Nothobranchius furzeri: one gene and its partner. The protein of the gene in region 2 interacts with the protein of the main gene of each other region in a biochemical or structural test. Links are inferred from orthologs where the notes say so. Each region holds a gene or a part of one and is shown on either strand. Other genes may lie near its edges. The genes, in order: mycbp and akap1b.

Region 1 (3,303 bases), on a different chromosome or scaffold from region 2:
TGAGGTCTGGATCAAGACTTTTGCACAGCTCTGTACATGTAAACACAAAAACCACAGGCTGCAGTAGAAAAGATGCTTTATGTAGTTTTCTGTCATGTTTCAAAAGCTTTGAGAGAAACTGGTCTCTGCGTTTCCAGGTCAGCCTCAGACATCCAGATCGACATTTAACGATTCAGCAGGATGGAGACGCGGAGGGATGGAAAAGCGAATCATCGATCGCTCGTGTTCCAGTCAGCTGTTGTTATGTAAACACTTTTAGTTCAGCAGTGAGTTAATCCACCTAAACAGTTTTAGAGGCTGATGGCCTTTTGTGTTTTGGTGTTTTTATATGGAAACTATTTTTCTACTTGATGCAGAAGATTTCAGTTTGAAAGACTGAAAAATTTAAATGGAATTTTTAAAAAAAGTGAAAAAATATGAATTTCTGATCAAATGTTTTGTTATTTAAAAAACGAACAGTGATTTTGTCTTCGTTGATTATGTGATGATAAAACATTTACATTCTGCACAAAACAAAAGCCAGTGATGAATGATTTTATTTCCCGGGACCCCCAAAAGCAGCACCGCAGCCGTCCTACACTCCAGCTCTCTCCTCAGGCGACGTCTCGTACTGCATCAGCTGTGAGACAAACAAACCGTCAGACGTTCCCGACGGAGAATCCGGGGTGAACTCTGACCTGTGGATGCTTACTCTGTTCTTCAGCTCCTTGTTCTCCTCCATGAGCAGGCTGCACTTCTGCTGCAGATCAGCCAGCTCCATTCGAAGCGCCTCTGAGTCTCTGGGTTCTGGACCCGATGTCCCGAGGTGGAGTTTTATAAAGCTGAGTCTCTGGTTAAGGTCCAGATCCTCGTCAGTCAGAGCTATAAGATGCAGTTTAGTCAGTCTGCTGCTCCGGAGCATACAGGTGTGTGTAAGGAGAAAGAGGAAAACCCTCAGCAGCAACTTTAGAGAAGCAACTGTTGCTGCCAATCAATCTGGGAAGGGTCAAATGTCATTTTAGCTATTTAGAGACAAAAATGGAGAACATACAAGATTTTGTTTAAAATAATTATTTTAGGACAACAACTGAATCAGTTTCAGCTGAAAATGATAACTGGCAATAGCGAGTTAACATGATTAATCTGGAATGTTCAAATCTTCTGAAGTCTGGAATAAAAAGTGCTTCAGATCTTCTATAATTAGAACGAAGGATACTCGAGGGCGTTGTTGGGTTTATCTGGTTCTTCATAAAGAGCCACCAAGACTACAAAACAGAAACACACATGAATCCCCGCCACCTGAACAAATGAGCGCGTGTGTGTGACGGTAACAGGAAGAAGGGGGCGTTAGGATGTCCCACCGCTCGTTAAAGTGTCCAGAACTCCAGATCGTTCGAGGTATCTCCTGAACTGTTCTCGCTTTGACTCGGACGCCTGTAACCCAACAAATAGTCACATTAACAATTTTTAACTAAAATATGAACGTTTATTGTTTGAAAAATCACCATTAAACAGAACACGAGAAGCATCTGAGCCTATGGTGCGTTCACTGTCCGGATGCTAACTAGTTAGCACACGCTACGTGAGTTTAACCTCAAATACGAACAAAATGTAAAACATTTCTGATAAACACGATATTTATCTCTTTATTACTCACTCTATAGTTGGCCATGGAGACGGTTAAAACCTATAATTTGGTGATAGATGAATAGATAGGTTCCAGACCCAAACACACAGCAGCTTGTTTTGTACGCACTTCCGTCCACAAACAGGTGGTCTGTTGCCATGACAGCACGTAAAGCGGAAATGATGCCGCTGGTAGTTCTCTAAACAAATGTTTCTAACTCTTTAAAAAAATAAATGTTTCCTGGTTACGTCATGTGACACAAGGGGAAAAAACAGATTGGCCGAATTTTTATTTCTACATCCAGGTAACAAAAAACTGATATATCGGTAACATTTAAAATAAATTGTTTAAATGGAAGAAATCCAAAAGCGCGATAGTTTGCTAGCGTAGTCCGGACGTGTTTTTTTTTACTTTACAGTAGATTTATCGTACATTTGATTAACGTACAGCCATGAATAACGCGAATTGCACTAAATTAAAAAAATGTTCCTTCAGTCTTCGTGGGTTCAGAGTTCAGGAATGTCCGGCGCTTTAACCCATAGATATCATATATATTAGCTAGATCCCTCACCCGCGCTGTTCGTCAATGGACCCTGACGTCCGTTCGCGGCGGCCATCTTACTTCGGACAGCGGCCCTCCTCTAACAGTGGTGTTTAGTGGTGCGTGCACTATTTAAACAACTCTTAACTTTCTCAGTTTTCAACCGATTTTCATACGGTTTGATTTTTTAGAAACATTAGAGACGTGGCTATGAAATATGTCAGTATTGGCAGGAAACTCCCCTTATTTCACTCCACTTTCCAGCCGTTTTCCCCTATCCTGTAAATTTCCCATACTTACCATTTTATTGTCAACAAGATCTGCTTCTGATGAACTAGCTGTAGTTTGTAAACTCTGCCTGCCACCACTCACATTAAAGGTCACACCCTGGATTTAATCTGCTGCTCCGGCCTGACCCCCTCCAACTGTACAGCTGACCCGCTCCCTTTCACGGACCACTTCCTCATCTCCTTTTCTGTTCCCCTCCGTCTCTCCGTCATCAAGTCACCCCGTATCATTTCATTTCGTAATATTAAGGACATTGATCTAGCCTCCCATTCCTCCAGCTTTGCCACCCTGACCCCAGATTTATCCTCTACTCCCGATGATCTTGTCATTCAGTACAATAACGGTCTGGTTTCAACCCTTAATCCATTTGCTATCATCAAATCCCGCTCTGTATATTTCACTCGGTCTGCTCCATGGTTCACCCCTGCCCCACGCTCATTGAAAGCCAACCGGAGGCTTGAAAGACTCTACAGGAAAACCGGTCTCACCATCCATAAAGACTTATATTCTGCTCAGATTTCTCTCTACAAGGACTCCATCTCCTACGCCAAATCACAGTATTACTCCGGTCTCATCTCGTCCAACTCCAGCAACACTAAGACATTATTTTCCATCATGAACAGCATTTTTCAGCCTCCCGACTCCTTACCCATCCATCTTTACTCTTCAGAAACCTGTAACTCTCTCCTTCAGTTTTTAATGAGAAGGTCAATAGAATCCATCTCTCTTTACCTCATTCCTCCCCTCCCTCTCCTGATTTATTTGAACCCTCCATTCAGTTCTCCTCCTTTGAACTTCCCCATCCCTCAGAACTATTAGATTACACCACCAAGTCCAAACCTTCCACCCGTCAGCTAGACCCTATTCC
Region 2 (3,820 bases):
CCAGAGTAGAAACACCAACCTCACACAGGTGGCATGTTGCCAAGGACTGTGCAAGTGAAGCCAGAAACACTTCATCCCCCCTCCTCCTCCTGAATTTGTACCCCCACCACTTAGGGAACCACCGTATTAACACCTCCAAGTACAAGATGCCATACGTCACTGAAATGAACATTGCCACCTTCCTCTTTGCCTCCATTCGAACCCTTTTTTACGTTTTCTTTTTGACGTTCACCATTAAACTCTCCACCACTCTCAAGCCTCTAGCTCACCCACAAGCACATCAACGTCAGTCTCTGTGAAATGGTGTTTTTAGGCCTTGCAGTCACCGTGATTACCTGTGAAAGCTGCCACTTACCTGGCTTACTCGTATGCAGAACACTCATAAGTGGGTGTGCGGAGGGTGGGGTGTGATCAAAAATCACCTGAGCACACTTCTAGGACAGGTGTGATTTATAAAGCAGGAATTGTGTGCAGCTGTGCGTAAGCAGAGTTTTATGAATCAGAACATTTGTTTGTATAAATAAGCTTTTGTGTCGAGCTTAAGTAGATTTTTAGTGAGGACTCTACACGGCTTCATAAATGAGACCCATATGGTTCTTAGAGCTCGTAGAGACAAGGGAGAGAAAAGTATTTTAACATGTGTTCTTAGTGATCAGACGGGTTTTTAGAGTATGCATGACCACGAACGAAAACCTTTTTACGACATCCAGAGGAACTTGATCCCCTCGCCTGCACAGCTCTCTTACAGTCCACACACAGAGAGTAAATGCAAACGTCATACCTCATCTCCCACCATGTTCCACAGATGAACCAGTGGTAGGCCCGTGTTGTTGTCGTAGTTTGAGACCTTTATAGGAAGCAGGGAGGAAACAGACATTAGACTTTAGCTGGTGGTGGTTCTCTGAAGAGAGAGCTGCAGGGTTGAAGGTAGCCTCACCTGTGCAAGTAAAGCCACGCCTCTGGTCATTTCCTCCAGCGTCGACGTGGCTTCTGCTGAGAAACGATCCTCTCCTGATGAATGACACATCAGTGTGTATGAAACCAGCACCGGAGGTGAACTCAAAACCAAAGATCTGCTCTTAAACACGGCGCTAGAGGCCGACCGATATGTTCAAACTTTCTGTATCGGCCATCAGCCGAAAGTATTTCTAAAAGCTGCGAAAAATATATATATAAAAAAAAATCAGGCACCTCTGTGACCAACTACTGCCACTACTAGACTACAGAAAGGACCCGAACAGCTCCTTTATGTTGTGAGTTTGTTTGACAGCGTTTCCCGTACGGAGCTGAAACTCCAGCACAACGCCTCCAAAGATCAGCAGACGTTTCTTTAAGAGTGTGTGTGGTCAGGGTGGGCGGTACCAACCCTCAAACCTGCTGGCGGACGCCAGAGGTGAGGGATGCTGACAAGCTGTCTTTATGGCCAGAGGGCCGACTGAGGCTGCTGACAGGTTAGGGGTCGCAGTGGAACAAAGCCGGGCCTGGGACAAGTTTCAAGGTGATTCTGGTGCAAATCCGATATCTGAGGAAGTTTATGGTGTTTACGGCGGTGATGGCGTGCTGCTGACCTTGCCTGGGAAGGGCGAATGAGTGGGCGGGGCCCTTTGATTTAACAAACAATAAAATAAATGTCTCCGACTCTGACAGCCAGAAGATCTCTCTAAACTCAGCACGTAACAAAACAAAGCTGTACCTGGAAGAGGGACGATGTTGTCGAGCAGAACTTCTGCACCTTGAAATGGCAGAGTTACAAAATCTGACCTGCAGAGAAAGCATCGTGTTATTTGCTGATGTGTATGAAACAGATGACAAGTAGGCTAGAAGCACAACAAGTGAATGTGCAGAGTTATCAGATGAAGCTGCAGCACCAGGAGCCCAAAGGCTAGACGCCCACAGGTCAGCTGGAGGGCGCTTGCCTGATCTGTCGGAGCGAGTCGGTCTTTACTCGGTCGTAGCCTCCGTAATCAACATATCTGATCTCCACCTCATCGCTGTCTTTATAGAAGGTGATGACCTGAGCTCTCCACCAGGCTCCGTCCACTGCTGGAGCTGCGCAGATAACACCAACTGGAAGAGAAGGAGGAGAACTTCCGACACAGATCTCACCACCGTAGAGAAGACGTTCCAAAGAAAAGTTCTACCTTCAGCAGGCGAGGGCAGGGCGGGGGTACCCGGCTGGGAGTAACACAGGAACATCTGCTGATCCAGACTTCTTAGGGCGTGGTAGGTGGGGTGGGTGTGTTGCTGGACGAAGACGTGACCAGCTGACACGATGTTCACCACAACCACCTCGACGGTCACTCCACTGGGAAGCAGGAGCTGAAAAACATGGAGGTCAAACAGCAAAGCGTCAGAAGCCTGCGCTCAGCACGAGGACTCAGCTGTGTAGCGGAGAAGCTCCTTCTCACCCAGGAGGTCATGGGAAGTGAAGGCAGAGAGAGTGAGGGTGGTGGGGGTGCGTACAGATTGGTCAGGTCCAGGTCCTTAAACTTCTTGCCAATCAGTGCCAGAGCTTTATCAACCTGCTGCTGCACACCTGGCGACAGATCAGGCAGCGTTAGAAACCACCTCCGAGAGGAACCTTTCCTACAAACGGGCGCCTTGCAGCAGACTCACCCTCTATGTGGCAGATCTGGAACTCCTGTGTGTAAGGCAGAGTGGAGATGTAGATCTTTGCTCCAGAGTTCTGCTTCAGGAAGCTCACGTATCTCCCCTGCTTCCCGATCAGCCGCCCTACAAGATGCTGACACGGCAAGAAATGCTCATGAGAACCGTCCTCAACCACTTTGGACCATGAGAGGAAAATCCAGCGACACCAGTTTTACTCCTCTGACATCCACAAAGAAAACGTAGAGCAGCAGAAGCAGGTTTGGTTTCTCTGCCGGCGGCGTCTCCGTTACAGACACGCGGGGGCGGGGTCACTCACCTTTGGCACCTCAATCTCCCAGATAACGAGTTCAGAGTTTGATGAGGCAGCGTTGTTGCCCTGGCCCTCACAGGCTCCCATAGTGCAGCCGCTGTCCACCGAGTCCATACTGTTCACATCAGAACCTGGACACATCACATCCAATATTTTACCTTCACCAGTAACAATCTACACTTTGTTATGACATGGTAACGTTTCTGAAGCCCCGTGTGTCCAACAGCTGCTTCAGTCCACCTCGACCCTTTCTCCAGCTACTAGTCACCTCCAGCAAAGAGAAGGTTTCACAACCACGTCCGCCACCGCCTGAGGGGCGTCGGGTTATGAAGCCCCAGCTAAAGCCCGATGAGACGGAAAAGGAAACCGGCTGCAAAACCCTCTGAAGTTATGGGTCAGACAAGATCAGAAGCTTCTAGATCAGAACCTGGGCCCATAGTCGCCCGATTAACACATTCAGTACGATCACTTCCAGAGCAGACCCACGTCTTTAGCACATTAAAGCAGGCTGCTAGGACACACACCCTCACCGTTAGCATAGGACGAGCCTCACCTCCAGACTGATCGGTGTCCACCTCACATGTCCCATGAGCCCCGTTTCTTGAGCCAATCCCGTTAAGTCTCTTTAGGACACCTGCAGCATCCACAGAGCTCTCCTCTGGGGCTGCTGGGCCGGCCTCCACCAACGACAGCGGCTGCACGGCTTCCAACGACAAGTCTGTAACTTGAAGGACGTCCGTTTGGTTTTCCAACACGCCGCTCTGCAGCTCCTCCAGGCTAACGCCGTCCTCAGAGTGGCAGGTGCTGCAGGCAGAGTCTTCGGTCAGGACGGTCCCCTCGTCGCCTCTACGTTTCACGTTTAGACCTGGAGAGGCCTGATGCGGCGGCGGCGGCGGCCAC

What was found.
Region 1: the proteins of akap1b (region 2) and mycbp form a complex in vitro, tested with the Homo sapiens proteins (2 studies listed by BioGRID). The link is inferred for Nothobranchius furzeri from reciprocal best matches to the Homo sapiens genes AKAP1 and MYCBP.

Annotation. Positions count from the first base shown.
Region 1 is NC_091759.1:25,188,199-25,191,501, reverse strand, and holds mycbp (C-Myc-binding protein), read right to left. Parts: upstream 1,788-3,303; 5' UTR 1,652-1,787; coding exon 1,637-1,651; intron 1,414-1,636; coding exon 1,341-1,413; intron 1,245-1,340; coding exon 1,196-1,244; intron 822-1,195; coding exon 692-821; intron 620-691; coding exon 575-619; 3' UTR 519-574; downstream 1-518. UniProt on the Homo sapiens protein: May control the transcriptional activity of MYC. Stimulates the activation of E box-dependent transcription by MYC.
Region 2 is NC_091753.1:61,604,268-61,608,087, reverse strand, and holds part of akap1b (A kinase (PRKA) anchor protein 1b), read right to left. Parts: coding exon 3,474-3,820; intron 3,052-3,473; coding exon 2,927-3,051; intron 2,744-2,926; coding exon 2,617-2,743; intron 2,537-2,616; coding exon 2,409-2,536; intron 2,320-2,408; coding exon 2,142-2,319; intron 2,068-2,141; coding exon 1,917-2,067; intron 1,762-1,916; coding exon 1,694-1,761; intron 1,012-1,693; coding exon 938-1,011; intron 848-937; coding exon 782-847; intron 1-781.